Linked DNA regions of Rhinolophus ferrumequinum. Each later gene encodes a partner of the first gene's protein in a complex. Links are inferred from orthologs where the notes say so. Each region holds a gene or a part of one and is shown in the gene's direction. Other genes may lie near its edges.

Evidence for each region. Proteins that work in one complex are often made in the same cells at the same time.
Region 2: MED8 (region 1) and mediator of RNA polymerase II transcription subunit 21-like share a complex: the UniProt entries of both Homo sapiens proteins name them as parts of the mediator complex. The link is inferred for Rhinolophus ferrumequinum from reciprocal best matches to the Homo sapiens genes MED8 and MED21.

What each region holds. Positions count from the first base shown.
Region 1 is NC_046292.1:30,617,385-30,624,991, reverse strand, and holds the start of MED8 (mediator of RNA polymerase II transcription subunit 8), read left to right. Parts: upstream 1-4,097; 5' UTR 4,098-4,192; coding exon 4,193-4,198; intron 4,199-5,554; coding exon 5,555-5,673; intron 5,674-6,351; coding exon 6,352-6,496; intron 6,497-6,790; coding exon 6,791-6,931; intron 6,932-7,123; coding exon 7,124-7,205; intron 7,206-7,565; coding exon 7,566-7,607. Other genes in the region: KICSTOR complex protein SZT2, read right to left, coding at 3,962-3,988. UniProt on the Homo sapiens protein: Component of the Mediator complex, a coactivator involved in the regulated transcription of nearly all RNA polymerase II-dependent genes.
Region 2 is NC_046286.1:94,043,044-94,049,552, reverse strand, and holds mediator of RNA polymerase II transcription subunit 21-like, read left to right. Parts: upstream 1-5,204; coding exon 5,205-5,663; 3' UTR 5,664-5,712; downstream 5,713-6,509. Other genes in the region: MTHFD1L (monofunctional C1-tetrahydrofolate synthase, mitochondrial), read right to left, coding at 4,858-4,997. UniProt on the Homo sapiens protein: Component of the Mediator complex, a coactivator involved in the regulated transcription of nearly all RNA polymerase II-dependent genes.

The sequences.
Region 1 (7,607 bases):
TCTAAAGATACAACGGAAAGCCAAAATTGGCATTCTCTGCTCTCACAAAATTTTCACCCATGGAGAAAAATATTAATCAAGTAATCACTCTCATTATTGTATTATTACAAACTGAGTACGCACATCAAAGGATAAGAATGTGGTTCTATGATAGTGTGGAACCAAGTAACATGATCTAGGCTAGAGTCTTAGGAGAAAGTAACGCTGACAGTTGCGCAGGGAGGGTGTGCTAAGTGAGGAGGAAAAGGGGGATAAACCAGCTGGATGCTATAGACGAGCACTGTGCTATTAGAAAACTTTCTTCAGGTTATTAGCTAGTAGGCTGCTTAATTATACAACTGTACATCTTCCATTTCTCCATCTTATCTCAAAGGTTATTTTGAATGATGGACTGGCTATCCAAGGCCACGCTGAAGTCTAGTTCATCAATCAGTTCTTATAGAATCTACTCTCTTGATACTAGGAACATTTGCCTAACTCGAGCTTGCTCACAACATTCCCCCTTATACCTGATGCTTCAACAACAACAACCACGTTTTCAAATCATCATCTCTAAGTTATCTTCACATTCAAGATGTAATTTATCAAAACCATTAGACTTCAGAATTAATTTAACCGGCTAGAATGGTATTTTTCAAAGTGTGCTCTAAGGACCAGCTGCATCAGAATTACCTGGGGTGCTTATTAAAATGCAGATTCCCGGGCACCACCCCAGACAAACTGAATTAGCGTTGAGAGGGCTCAGGACTCTGCATTTAACAAACTCCCCAAGTGATTCTGCCACTTTAATGTTTGAGAATCCCTGAATTAGTTGTATTCTCACAGCATCCACACTCATAGGGAGCTTCAAGTCCCTAATCTTTAATCCCCGAGTCTGAGCTACATGACTCTTGTAGTCTGGCAAAGAGAGAGCAAGGGTTTGGAGTTAAGAGAACTGGAATCAAATGTGGTTCTACTACTTGCTATCTAGGTGAGTTTGGACAAGTTACGTAAGTTTTCCAGGCCTCAGTTTCTTTATTGATAACATGCAGATGTCTACTTCAAAAGGATGTTATTGCAATTAAACAGGAGAGTCAGAACAATCATAGAGGAAGCCTATCATTCTTTGGGTCATTTACTGAGGCCTACATACATACCAGTTATAACAAGATGAATAAAACATCATCAGGTGCTGTGCTGCATACCATGTATTCCAGCCTCACGGAAACATCCCCATCTCATTTATTTGTTATTTTTTGAACCTGTCCCTTTGTGGTTAAGGTATAAATTATGTTTTGAGGCTTTTCCAACCCTTGTGCTGCTTTCTGTTAACAGAGACCCACGAAATAATGTAGATTTCTCCATCTTGAACTGTCTTAAGCCTCCTTACCACTATTCATATGCCAAAGTCTTGAAACTCTAGCACGGCCTCAACCTGAACCTTCTTCTCCAGCCTCTCTCACCCATTACCCCTGAAGTATAGTCCCTAGGAGCAAACACTGGTTCTGCTGCTTATTAGTGAAGTTACTTAAACTCTCTGTGCCTTAGTTTCCTCATCTGTGAAATAAAGATACTAACAGTATCCATTTCATGCGGATTTGAGGACTATTAGATGATTATTTGGTAAGCACTCTGTGTTAGCTATTCTCATTGCCACACTGCAACCATACTAGAAGCTGCTTCCTCTCAGTTCTCTAAAGGGTCTAAGCTCCTTCTCATCTCAGGATTTACACTACTCACTCTGCCTCTTCTCATAGCCAACTTCTACTCATTCTTCAGGCTTAAATGTCATTCCTCTCTAGCAGCTTCCTGATCCACCCTGCCTCCACCACTTCTTAATAAAGTAGGTTAAGAGCCCCTGTTAAACACTCATTCACTCTGTATTTTTCCTTTGCAGCACTTATCATAACTTGATGTTTGTTTACTCCCTTAAAATAGGGAAGGTGTCAGTCTTACACTGCTCCGCATCCTCCCTGATAATTAGCACAATTCTGAGTCCATAGTAGCACTCATAAATATTTTAAGTATTTGATGAATGAATGATTTCTTAAATCTGACTATGCCCAATCTTTCTCTCTTGAGATTGTAACAAACTCTAAAAGTCAGTCACTTTTCTGCCCAGGGGCAGAAGAACTCTTTACTCCCTTCACCTTGTGCCATAAAATTTTCAGAAATACAAATCAAAAAATTAAGAAATGCTTAGCTTTTACCTGAATGAGACCCCCAGGTGCATGTGTCTTGGCTCCAAGTTACTTTAGATCTGTAATGTTCAATGTATTCGGTATCCCCTACCACATGGGGCCACTGAGGACTGAAATGGTGCTTGTCTAAAATAAGATGTGCTGCAATATAAAATACCTACTGGATTTTAAAGACATGATACAAAACAAAGAATGTTAAATGTCTTATAATTTTAAAATATTTACTACATGTTGAAATTGTAATATTTTGGAAATACGGGGTTAAATGAATGCATTACTAAAATCTTCACCTATTTCTTTTTATCTTTTTGAATGTGGCTACTAGAAAATTTACATATATGGCACACATTCAACTTCTATTGGGTAGTGCTGTTTTAGACTATCTGCCTATAAGGCATGTTTTATTTCCCCGCAAAATACCTGTATTTCCCCCATTTGAATCCATAGCAAAACATAACTCCAAATGGTTTTTTTCAATACTGATATTTCTGATGCATGGGCTATTCTACCATCCCTGTTTTAAATAAGGCATAGTTTCTTACTTTATCTTGGGCCTCGTCATATCAAATCCCAATGAACTGGAGGTTTACTATCCCACACTTACTTTCTTATTTACATTACAAACATTATGGTTAAGAACACAAGGTCTGGAGCCAGGCCTCCCCGTTTTGGAGTCCTGGCTCTACTACTTACTAGCTGTATCTTTATTGCTCTGAATCTCTGTGTGCCTCAGTTTCCACACCTGAAAAATGGGGATGATAATCGTGCCTACTTCATAGGGTTGAGCACATTAGTTGGTATTGGTGAAGTGCTTAGAATGGTACTTGGTACGCTGTAAGCATTCAATAAGTAATAACTACTAGTTGTGTCATTATATACATCCCTCACCCTTCCCACCTATTCACATATTCTCTTGTAATACTGGACACCTCTCCTAGTGATGTTGTTCCTTCCAAATCTCAGGGATATTATGCTCAGAACTTCCAACTCCAAAACTCTGCTACTCCCCAGCTGAGTAGCACTTAGGTAAGGTACTTAACCTCTTTCACTTTTCAGTTTCCTTATCTGTAAATGAGAAATGCTACTGCCACCTTCCTTGCACAAGTACGAATAACACAATGTATATGAAATTCCTTGCGTGGTCCTTAGCACCTGATGGATAAGTCACATGCGTTTTCTGGTTTAACACATGCGATCCTCACAACGCACCGTAAGACAGGTATTTTATGAAGAAGGAAACAGGATCTGGGAAGTCAAGGCTTGCCCAAGTTGCACAGATAGCTAAATAGCAGCGCCAATATTGGAACGAGGTTTCACTCTGGGTCAAAAATTTTTCAGGAAACCAAAGCTGCTTTCCCACAGCATGAGCGCTAGAACTAAATTAATTCATGCTGTTTATGGGATTACAATGTTTGGAGAAATGCAGAAACCGGCCAAGTATATATTGCCCTGTTGCCCGCTGAAACTGCAACAGAAAAATCAAAATACAGTTTTTGTTAATATCATTATTATTAGGTCAAAGAACCCGACAGCCCTAGAGTCGGCGACGTGGATGAAGTTTCAGTAAACAAAACAAAGCGACGAGTTTTTCCTCAAACCCCCCGAAGAAACTGCGGACCACGAGGAGGTTCAATTGTCGGGCCTTAGAAGCTGGGCCGGTCCCCGGCCCAGACGACACGTCCAGGTCGCCCCCAGACCCGGAGGAGGCCACGGCAGCGCGCGGCCGCCGTACCCTCCCCCTCGGATCTCGGGAACCAGCGCTGCGCCCGCCCGCCCCTCACCTCCGGCTCCGGGCGCTCCGAGGCCATCACACAGCCCTCCCGCGCCGGCCCAGGCCAGAGAAGATGTTCCACTCGTGACCCCTGACCCGGCTACCTCGCACCCCGCAGTAGCCGGAAGTGAACGGGCGGGCCGCGTTCTGAGCTCTCTGATTGGTGGACGAAGCCCTGTCAGAGTGACTCGCGACTTGGAAACCGGTAGAGGAGGTCGTTGCGGCCGCTACTGCTGCCGCTATGCAGGTGAGAGCCCGGTCGGGACTATGGATCGCCAGCTAACTTCGAGTAACGGGGCCGAGAGTGAGCCAGCCGAAGAGAGATGCAGTTGGGGCTGAGAGGAAGGGGCAGAGCCCGCGGCTGATGGATGGGGAAAGTGGGGTGAGGGACGAGGCCTACTGGACAGGGAGAGGCGGAGCTGAGAGATGGGGTGGGAGCCCCGCTGACAGGAGACAGAGACTGCGGCTAAGTCGAGAGGGAGAAGGCAGCACTGACTTGCTGGGGGGTGGGGAAGGATCAGGTTGTAATTGGGGAAGGTTGAGATTCAACCCAAGGAAGATAGCTTAAGAAAGTGGCCGGTTGGCTCAGGACCCGGCCTAGGCTGTTGGACGCTGCTGGATGCAGACATAAGAGGGCATCTGTAATTGGAGAGAAGCCCGAGGGGTGACGGAAATGTGGTGCCGCGGGGGCCAAAAGCCAAGTTAATGAATCTGAGGCCGTGGGTAGAATCCAGGATCAAGGCTCCTGCCCTACACATTGGCTGGCGTGTTTGCAAGACGCTTTCCCAGCCTGTGCCTGTAGTCAAGGGTGAAGAAATGAAGTAAAACTGGAGACCATAGATGGAAAGGAATTGCTTTGCAGACACCCCAGCATTTACAATTGTTTAGTGCTTAGGACGTATGCATTTTTTTGTCTGTCATTTGTCATTTAGTTTCTCACGCCTGGTAGTTGGTCAGTAAGTGTTTATAGGTTGACTAAGTTGGTGAAAGGGGCACAAGAATACTGGCACAGAGGTAAAGTGAGTGCAGATTAATTTCGCAAGGAGGAGGTTGAAACATCAAATGCTGAGGGCAAATGAAGAGTGAGAGAGAGAGAGAGAGAGAGAGAGAGTGTGTGTGTGTGTGTGTGGTGCAAGGCCCTATTCTGAGAAACTTTCATGTGTAGGTAGATTTCCCAGAGATTGTGTGCCATTGACAAGAACAGCCAGGCTCACAAGGCAGGTTCTAGGACAGAGGAGTACATATGCTGCAGAGGTACACAAAAGATAATAAACCCAGGTATTAGGTCTGGTGAAAATTTCTCAACGAGAGACAATAGAGTGTACCTAATCCAGAGAAAAGACAGGCATGGATTAGGACGTGATGAGAGAAAGAATCAGTTGGTAGGAGGAATTGAGGTCAGGTGAATGGGTTGAAAGGTCTAAAGGTTGATGCTCTCTGTAACCCAAATACCAAAGATAGAAAACGACGTGGCTCTCGTATGCCAGTGAGATCTTATGTCACTTGACTAGTGTTGCACACTGTCACCCTGGCTTTCCAGCCTTCTTCTGTATGTGTCATATTTACACCCATTTGGATAACCAACGTGTTCCTATTGGTGCAGAGAGAGGAGAAGCAGCTTGAGGCATCATTAGATGCACTGCTGAGTCAAGTAGCCGATCTAAAGAACTCACTGGGGAGTTTCATTTACAAGCTGGAGAACGAGTATGACCGGCTGACCTGGTAAGGGTTGCCAGGGCAATCTGGGGAGGACTCCATGGGTGGCAGGGCAGGCCTCCTGGTGGATGGGATATCTCCAATGATGTAACCATTTATCAATTTGCAAACATCTTTTGATTTGGAAAGAGCTGGCTTTCCCAACATTTAACAAATGAAGTTTAGCTTAGGGCCTCCATGGCAAGGAAGTAGAGAAATGCCCAGTTTCCCAACCTAGGTTCTTCCTAGCTTTTGATTCTCGCCCTTTGACTTCTCTGGGAAGAGGTCCTCCCTTAGTGTGTCCTCCCACTGCAGTAGGCATACAGTGGTCATACTGGATCTTCTACCACAGATGTTGCTGAGTCTTTTAGGTACAACCTATTCTGGAAGTATGGATCCTATTTCCAGGCCAGAAAGGAGGCTTTTACTCAGTTTCTGAATTTTCAGTGGTAACAGTGTAGCCATGGTTCCTATTTTACCACTGTTCCTCACCCCATTCAAATAATGAGCTGCCTTTTTTCTCCATCTGTGTCAGAAACTGAAAGCGTGTCCCTCTTTCCTAACCCCACAATCCCTGTAAGCCAGTCTGGTTCCCACCCAGTCCAGCCATGGGCTGTCTTTTTGGGGTAAGTCCAAGTATTCCTAATCTGAAAGACCCCCTTCGAGGCTACTTGGAACATTCTGACATCTTCTTACCACCACCAGGCCCTCTGTCCTGGACAGCTTTGCCTTGCTGTCTGGACAGTTGAACACTCTGAACAAGGTCTTGAAGCATGAAAAGACACCACTGTTCCGTAACCAGGTCATCATTCCACTGGTGTTGTCCCCAGACCGTGATGAAGATCTCATGGTAAGAGGAGGAGAAGGGTGCAACTTGGGAAATTAAATTCTTTGATGACCTAGAGCACAATTGTTGGTTGGTTATTCTGGAAGTTCTGAATGTGGTGTAGTGTGTGGCAATAAAAAGCGTGTGGCAATAAAAAGTGTCGGCTGAATTTTGGTCTCCTAGGAAGCTAAATATTGTAAGTCTTAAGCTGTGTTTTCCCTGAAAATGCACTGTTTGCCTGTGGCAAGAACTATATATCAGGCCAAACTGAATCTTCTTGGAGTGCATAGAAGGATCAATAAAATCTGTGTTTTACAGCGGCAGACTGAAGGACGAGTGCCTGTTTTCAGCCATGAGGTGGTCCCCGACCATCTGAGAACCAAGCCTGACCCTGAGGTTGAAGAGCAAGAGAAGCAACTGACAACAGATGCTGCCCGCATTGGTGCTGATGCAGCTCAGGTTGGACTGAGTCACTGTCCTGCTGCCCCCATTCCCCAAGTCCCATCATGAGAAGCTAGGCATTACCATTGCTGTCTGGTAGGGATGTATAGTTGTTACACGTAAGTTGCCCCTAGAAGAGCACAAGGAAAAAACTTCCCCGCATAATTTCTTGCTTGCCCTAATCTCTGAACCAATTTATGTGTGTTACAGAAGCAGATCCAGAGCTTGAATAAAATGTGCTCAAACCTTCTAGAGAAAATCAGCAAAGAGGAACGAGAATCAGAGAGTGGAGGTACGGAGGGATCAGTGGCAAAGTGGAGAAGGAAAGAAGGATAAGATCAGTGTTATAGGAATAGTGGTTTTGGTAAGAAAGATGTAAGAATGAACTGCTCAGGAAAGGGTTACATCCATTCTGTTAGCCTTTTGTATTTAAGACCAGCCCTGGAGCAGGTGGAGGAAATGGGCAAAATGAAAATGGAGAATCCTGAGCTAGTCGTGAGGGTCCTCTGGCTCTTCCTCTGGGCTGCCAGGGAGCCTAGAGGCTGCTGACGTCAGACCTGCAAGCCCTGGTACTCAGACTAGTCTTCCTGCTGCTAGGTTCAGTCCAGGGCCAGAGGCATACCTCAGGGTCCTCACCTACCTTTTTCTTCAGGTCTCCGGCCGAACAAGCAGACCTTTAACCCTGCAGACACCA
Region 2 (6,509 bases), on another chromosome or scaffold:
GGTTCGGAAACCCCAATTTAGTGCCTTGTCACAATCCCACATTCTTTTTCTCTGCTACCAGTTTTGGTGAGAAACACCAGAAAACATTCTGATTCACTGAGGACATGATGACTTAGTTTTCTTTCAGTGGAAAAGAGCCTTGAGAATATTAGAAATTCTTTCAAAAGAGGTATTTGTGACAGTTTTTGATAGTGTACAAAAAACATAATAATAATAAAGTATTTTCAGATGGATTTTTCCAGCAGTAGTACAGACTGAAACACAGAGTGAACTTTTCAACTAGAATGACTAAAATACTACATTAAAAAAAGAATGTGAAGTATTGCTGAGCTTGCATACATGCAAAACTAAGAAGCAAAGAGTATCAACTAAACCAAAAGTTGGTTCTTAAAAAGACTAACAAAATTGACAACATTCTGGAAAGATTTTTCTAAAAAAGGAATAAAACAATATTATAACCACATATGCTATAAGCAGAATTCATAGAATACTATGACCAACTTTACAGTCATACATTTAAAAACATAAATTCATAGGGGTGTAACTTTCAATAGGCTCATATAAGAAGTAGAAAACCTAAACAGTTCTATAATATATTCATTAAAAAATGAAATTTGTAGTTTAAAATCTACCCCATACCATTAAATAACAGGCTCAGACAGTGTTACAGGTCAATTCTTCTCATCTTTCAATAAATATATTATTCTAATGTTACAAAATCCCTTCTAGAGTATATAAAAAAGAAGGAATCCTTTGTAATTTATTTTATGTGGCTAACATTTCACTCTTAAATACAGATGCAAAGATCTTACTTAAAACATTAGGAAACCAATAAGTAAAATTCAGTCATTCATAAAAAAGATAATACATCCCCAAATTAGATTTATTAAAGGGATGTAAGGTTCATTTCATATTTGAAAGTTCAGTAATAACCTGCAGCATTACTAGATTAAAGAGAAAAGCAATAGCCTCTCAATAGATGAAGAAACTTATTCATCACCTATTTATTACAAAAACTTGGCAAACTAGGTTTAGAAGGCAATTTCCTTAACCTGATAAAAAAACATACTAAAAATCTATAGAAAACATCATACTTAGTAATGAACCGTTAAAAACATTTTCTTTCAAATCAGGATGCCCTCTATCACCATTCCTATTTACTACTACAGTGCATCCAAGAAGACCTGATAGGTGACAAGAAAAAAAATACGAAGATTGGAAAGAAAGAAACAGAACTGTTCTTATTTTCAGATATGATAGCCCACATAGAACTCTCCCAAGTATCTATAGCTAAATTAGTACAATTAATAAGAGAATTTTTAAGCCACGGGGATACACAGCAAGGTAAGTATGATTCATAATACTGTGCTGCAAACTTGAAAGTTGACCTTAAAAGCCCTCATTATAAGAAAGAAAAAAAAGTTTTGTAACTACGTATGGTGACAAATCTTAACTAGACTTATTGTGATCATATCAAATCTTGATGTTGTACACCTGAAAGTAATGTGTCAATTATACCTTAATTTAAAAAAAGAATTTAGAGAGGTCACTGTATATATAAAAGCAATATATAAGAATCCTGTTAGAATCATTGAAAAATATAAAGTACACAAGAACAAATCTCTAAAAGGATGTGGAAGTCTTTTATGGAATAAACGAAATCTTTATTAAAATACAGTTACAAAGACCTACATCAATGAAGAGATATCCCACGTTCTTAGATAGAAACCTGTCAACTCATCAAATTGATCGATTGATTTAATGCCATTTCAACAAAAATCCTAAGAAATTCCTTAAGGGACTTTATGAGCTAATTCTAAAATACACATGGAAGTGAAAAGGGCCAGGGATAGGCCAGGCAAGCATGAAACAGAGAACAACGTGGGAGGGCTTGCCCTACAGGCTATCGGTGTAGCACAGACACAATTATATGTAAATAGTGAGGAACAGAAGGGAGGTCTCAGAAAAAGACGTACACAGGAACGAAGAATTGATTTATGACAATGTAGGCTTGAAGATCAGAAAGAAGGAGGGACTATGTAAATAAACAGTGTTAGGCCAACTGGTTATTAATACAGGAACAATGAAATTTGATCTAGTCATTGCAATACAACAACCAAAAAGCAGTAATAATGGGAGTGATGGTTAATTATGTGTGTCAACTTGGGGCAGGGAGTGCCCAGATATTTGGTAGAACATTATTTTGGGTGTTTCCGTGAGGGTGTTTGTTGAGAATAACATTTACATTGGTGGATTCTGAGTAAGGCAGATTGCCACCCCATAATGTGGGTGGGCCGCGTGGAATCAGTTGAAATGTCTGACTAGAACACAGAGACTGTGCAGGAGAAAATTCTCTAGCAGACTGCCTCCAGACTGGGTCTGGAACTGGAATACTGATCGGCTCTCCTGAGTTTCCAGCCTGCTGGCCCTCTCTGTAGATTTTGGACTTGTCGCCTCCATAACTGCATGAGCCAATTCCTTGTACTAAATACTTTTATGTAACATCCTGTTAGTTCTGGAGATTCCTTGTTAATAAAATGGGTTTAAAGAATGAACTGAAAAATGAATACATGGATCCAAAAGTATAACAGATTATTAGTTCTTATATCTCACCAGGAGTGGTCTAGCACTTTGGAAGACAGGATTTGAATTTGAAACGATTGGGGCTAAAATGGGCAAGTTCAAGGGTCACAGGATTTTCCACTGTACAAATTATGGGAAGAAAAAAAACCCCACCAAGCTGAATAAACAAAAGTGCAGCCATGGCTATTTGTGCAATGATATTAAAAGGAAGTAGAAATTGTAATGGATCAAAAACATTACCACAGAGCTGATTCCAGTAAGGAGAAATGACACTGAGATGGATAATGTAGAATACAGGATTAAGAAGATGAAAGCTCATTTACTATTCAATTATGGAAAACATTTCCTGGATACAGACTACGCCAGGCACCAGGGGTACACAAATTAGTAAGACATAGTCCTTAATCTCAAGGGATTCACGGTTGAGGAGGGAGACATACACATAGACAATCGTGAAACAGTATGACGCAGAAGGCACTACTGGAGGCCAGGAGAGGGAGCCAAGCTTCTCCCAGCTTTCTGACCCCCCCTTTTATTATGCACCACCTTTATCTGTGCCCGTGAAGCTTGAGCCCTGTTACAATCATCACTGGCATGGAACCACAACTTTAAGTGGAAGATTAAGGCGAGCAGAAAATGCAAGTGCTGGAAAACAGAGCACATACATTAAGATGAACTGAAAGAGGATTATAAATCATGTAGGGAATTTTTACAGGATGGAGATCACAGTGTGGAAAAGCATTGGACTAGAAGCCAAGAGACCTTGATTTTACATCTGATTAGTCCTGCAAGTAAATGTGGGATACTAAGCAAGCCACTGAATCCTTTTTCACCTCAGTAATCTTCTTTCTATGCAGACTGAACCACGCTAGACGATCTCTAAACCCTTTCCAGTATTAAAGCACTTTGATTTTATAATTTTCAGGGTGCAAAATAGGGAGGGAGAATTTCAAATGCGTCTTATATGGGCAGAAACAGTGTTTTGAAAATGGGAAGTTGGTATATAGAGTCAAAGTTTAAAGTCAAGGAGTGATTGCAGCAACAGGTGGTGTTTTGAGCAAATTCAGAATTCTTTGGGATTTATTGCCTATAATGTATGTTAAGTCAACCTTCTATTTGAAATAATGATGAAGCTTGAGGCTAAAATGAAGTGCACAAGTGTCTGGTATTACACATGCATTCAGGACTCAGAAAAGGTTTAGCCTTCATTAGTAAGCAGCTTTGCACAGTGAACAGAGTAGGAGATTTGGATCTAGTCCTGGGCTTCAGATCGGGCTCTCTGCTGGCCTGGCGACATTACCCACATTCCTTAACCCCACCATACCTCAACTTCCTCGTCTGTAAAATGGTATGAAATAATGCCTGCTCCTCCTAGGACAAACAATCACTAAGATGATTAAACAGTGCATATTATGGGGTTTCAGGATGGCAAACCTCGGATTTGTTTTGCTCTTGTAACAATCATCAATTACGTGACTTCTGTGAACACAGTACACCAATTCAGAAATCAGATTTGGCAGTTTGTCTAACGTAGCAATAGTGTAAATGTTAAAGCCACTCCAAATTATATTATTTCAAAAACAATGAAGTGGTATAATATTTCATATTCTCCCTTTGAAGATACCTAAAAATGAAAAAATAAAATACTACACCTTTACCGCGGAAATGAAAAAAATTTCCTTTCAGGTATGTGTAATTTCTGTATATAACAATACAGGTTCATATCAAATGTCTTTAAAAAACGTTACAATAGAATTTATGTTTTCCAAGCAAAGCTCTCTGAGAAATAATCCAGTCCTATAACAGTTATAAAGTGAAATCATAATAAACAGAAACAGAAGGAACATAGTTCTAGAAGAAATCTGATGAGATGTAGCATCAGTGAACCAAAAAACCGTCTGTACAAACACTGAACAACCTCACCCACGAGAGGAATCATTCTGATCCGTATGCGCTCCATTCAGCAACCAGAGCTCTATCCTCCCATGACCGTGGGGCTAGAAAATGCTGACATCAGCCTCAGATAGGAATCTTAGGACTAAATAGTGTTTACATTATGCTCCTTTCCAAAATACTGCATACAAGTAACTTTGTGGGTGTTAATATTTACTGGAACTTACCTAAACTCTAAGTGCCCTATGATGGTAACTTGTAAAAAAGGAGACATTCTAGAAAACTAGAGTTATTAAGCAGGTTTCAAAATGTTTCAAACGCTCAATTCTGCTTTATCTTAACTTTCAAATTGGTTTCACTAGGAAGGAAGAAGGGACTTACGCTTGGCCCGCCCCCGTGCATCTTCAGAGCTCGCACTGTTGCCACCAGCACGACGACGTTGGGCACTAAACCAGAAGCTCGGCACTTGATGTTGAAGAATTTCTCCATACCAATATCAGCACCAAAGCCAGCTTCAGTCACTGTGGAGAATCAAGTTGGAAACTTGCTATTATCTTCTAAAAACAATAATAAGGCGTGGCAATCATTGGTATGGTTCAAATTCAAAGGACAGTTTACATTTCCCACCAAGTCCAGGCTACTACACAGCACGGCACCTTGTTCATATACAAAGGTAAACTAACCCCCAGTTTTAGAAAATGTTCTATGTCTTGACATTCCCTAAAAAGATGACTCTCTCTCATTTGCTTGCAGGGACATGGCGGCTTACACAGCTGCAGGACGCGGTGAACTCGCCTGCAGACCAGTTTTGTAATGCAATTGGAGTGTTGCCCCAGTGTGGTCCTCCTGCCTCTTTTAGTAATATTCAGACAACAATTAACAAAGATCAGCCAGCTAATCCCACAGAAGACTATGCCCAGCTTTTTGCAGCACTGATTGCACGAACAGCAAAAGACATCGATGTTTTGATAGATTCCTTGCCCAGTGAAGAATCTACAGCTGCTTTACAGGCTGCTAGCTTGTATAAGCTAGAAGAAGAAAATCACGAAGTGGCTACATGTCTGGAGGATGTTGTTTATCGAGGGGACATGCTTCTGGAAAAGATACAAAGTGCACTTGCTGATATTGCGCAGTCACAGCTGAAGACAAGACGCGGTACCCATAGCCAGTCTCTGCCAGACTCATAGTACCAGCGTATACCGCATGGCTGAGAAAAGAGCTATTTCAATGGCATTAAGAATTATACATCAGATTTAGATGTAAGCCTTACCAACAGTTACAGAAACATTAACCACTATAACACATTATCTTTCCAGCTATTTTTAACAGTCTTCTAGTTTCACTCTTGATAAATAAGCTTGTAAGATTGTGATTGAACCAGCTTTAAACCATCATTATACTATCATTTTTTATTATCCAAATGAAATTATTGAGGCAGCTCTTACATTAATGGTCATAATTAAACAAATTACCGTAAAATTCTATTGTGGGAGAAAAAAAAAAAGATGGCCCTCTGCTTCATACCACCATGCCTTAAGGATCCTTTGCCAAGGCCTAGATTTTCCTTTCGGTAGAGTAACTCAGAGCAAAACTTTTCTGAACACAGCTGGGATTTTCAACTTTTTAATCAGGTTCCAAATTGTATCAAAGAACACTGCCAGCATAATTACGACGGAAGAGCCTTTCGCAATGTAGATCATACATAGAATTGTTTCTTTAGTGCCACTGGTCATTTCTGTTGATTGACAACATTCAAGTTAGTTGAGTGGCTTAAGGAGGTTCGTTATTATATAAGATAGCATCTTCATTCCATAACCACAGGGACACTGTAGGGGTTCATAACGAGTCTCCCCAGAATGTGCTACCCTGGAATGAGAATTACTTGGAGCTGAAGACAACTGAGGCCTACAAGCTCAGGAAGAGCTTTTAACCTCCCTCGTAACGGCCTAAAAAAACTTAGATAAAGGGCCTGATTCAGGACGAGCATCATCACTTGAGATACCTACAAGGAATGTGGGCAGGGGGAATCCACA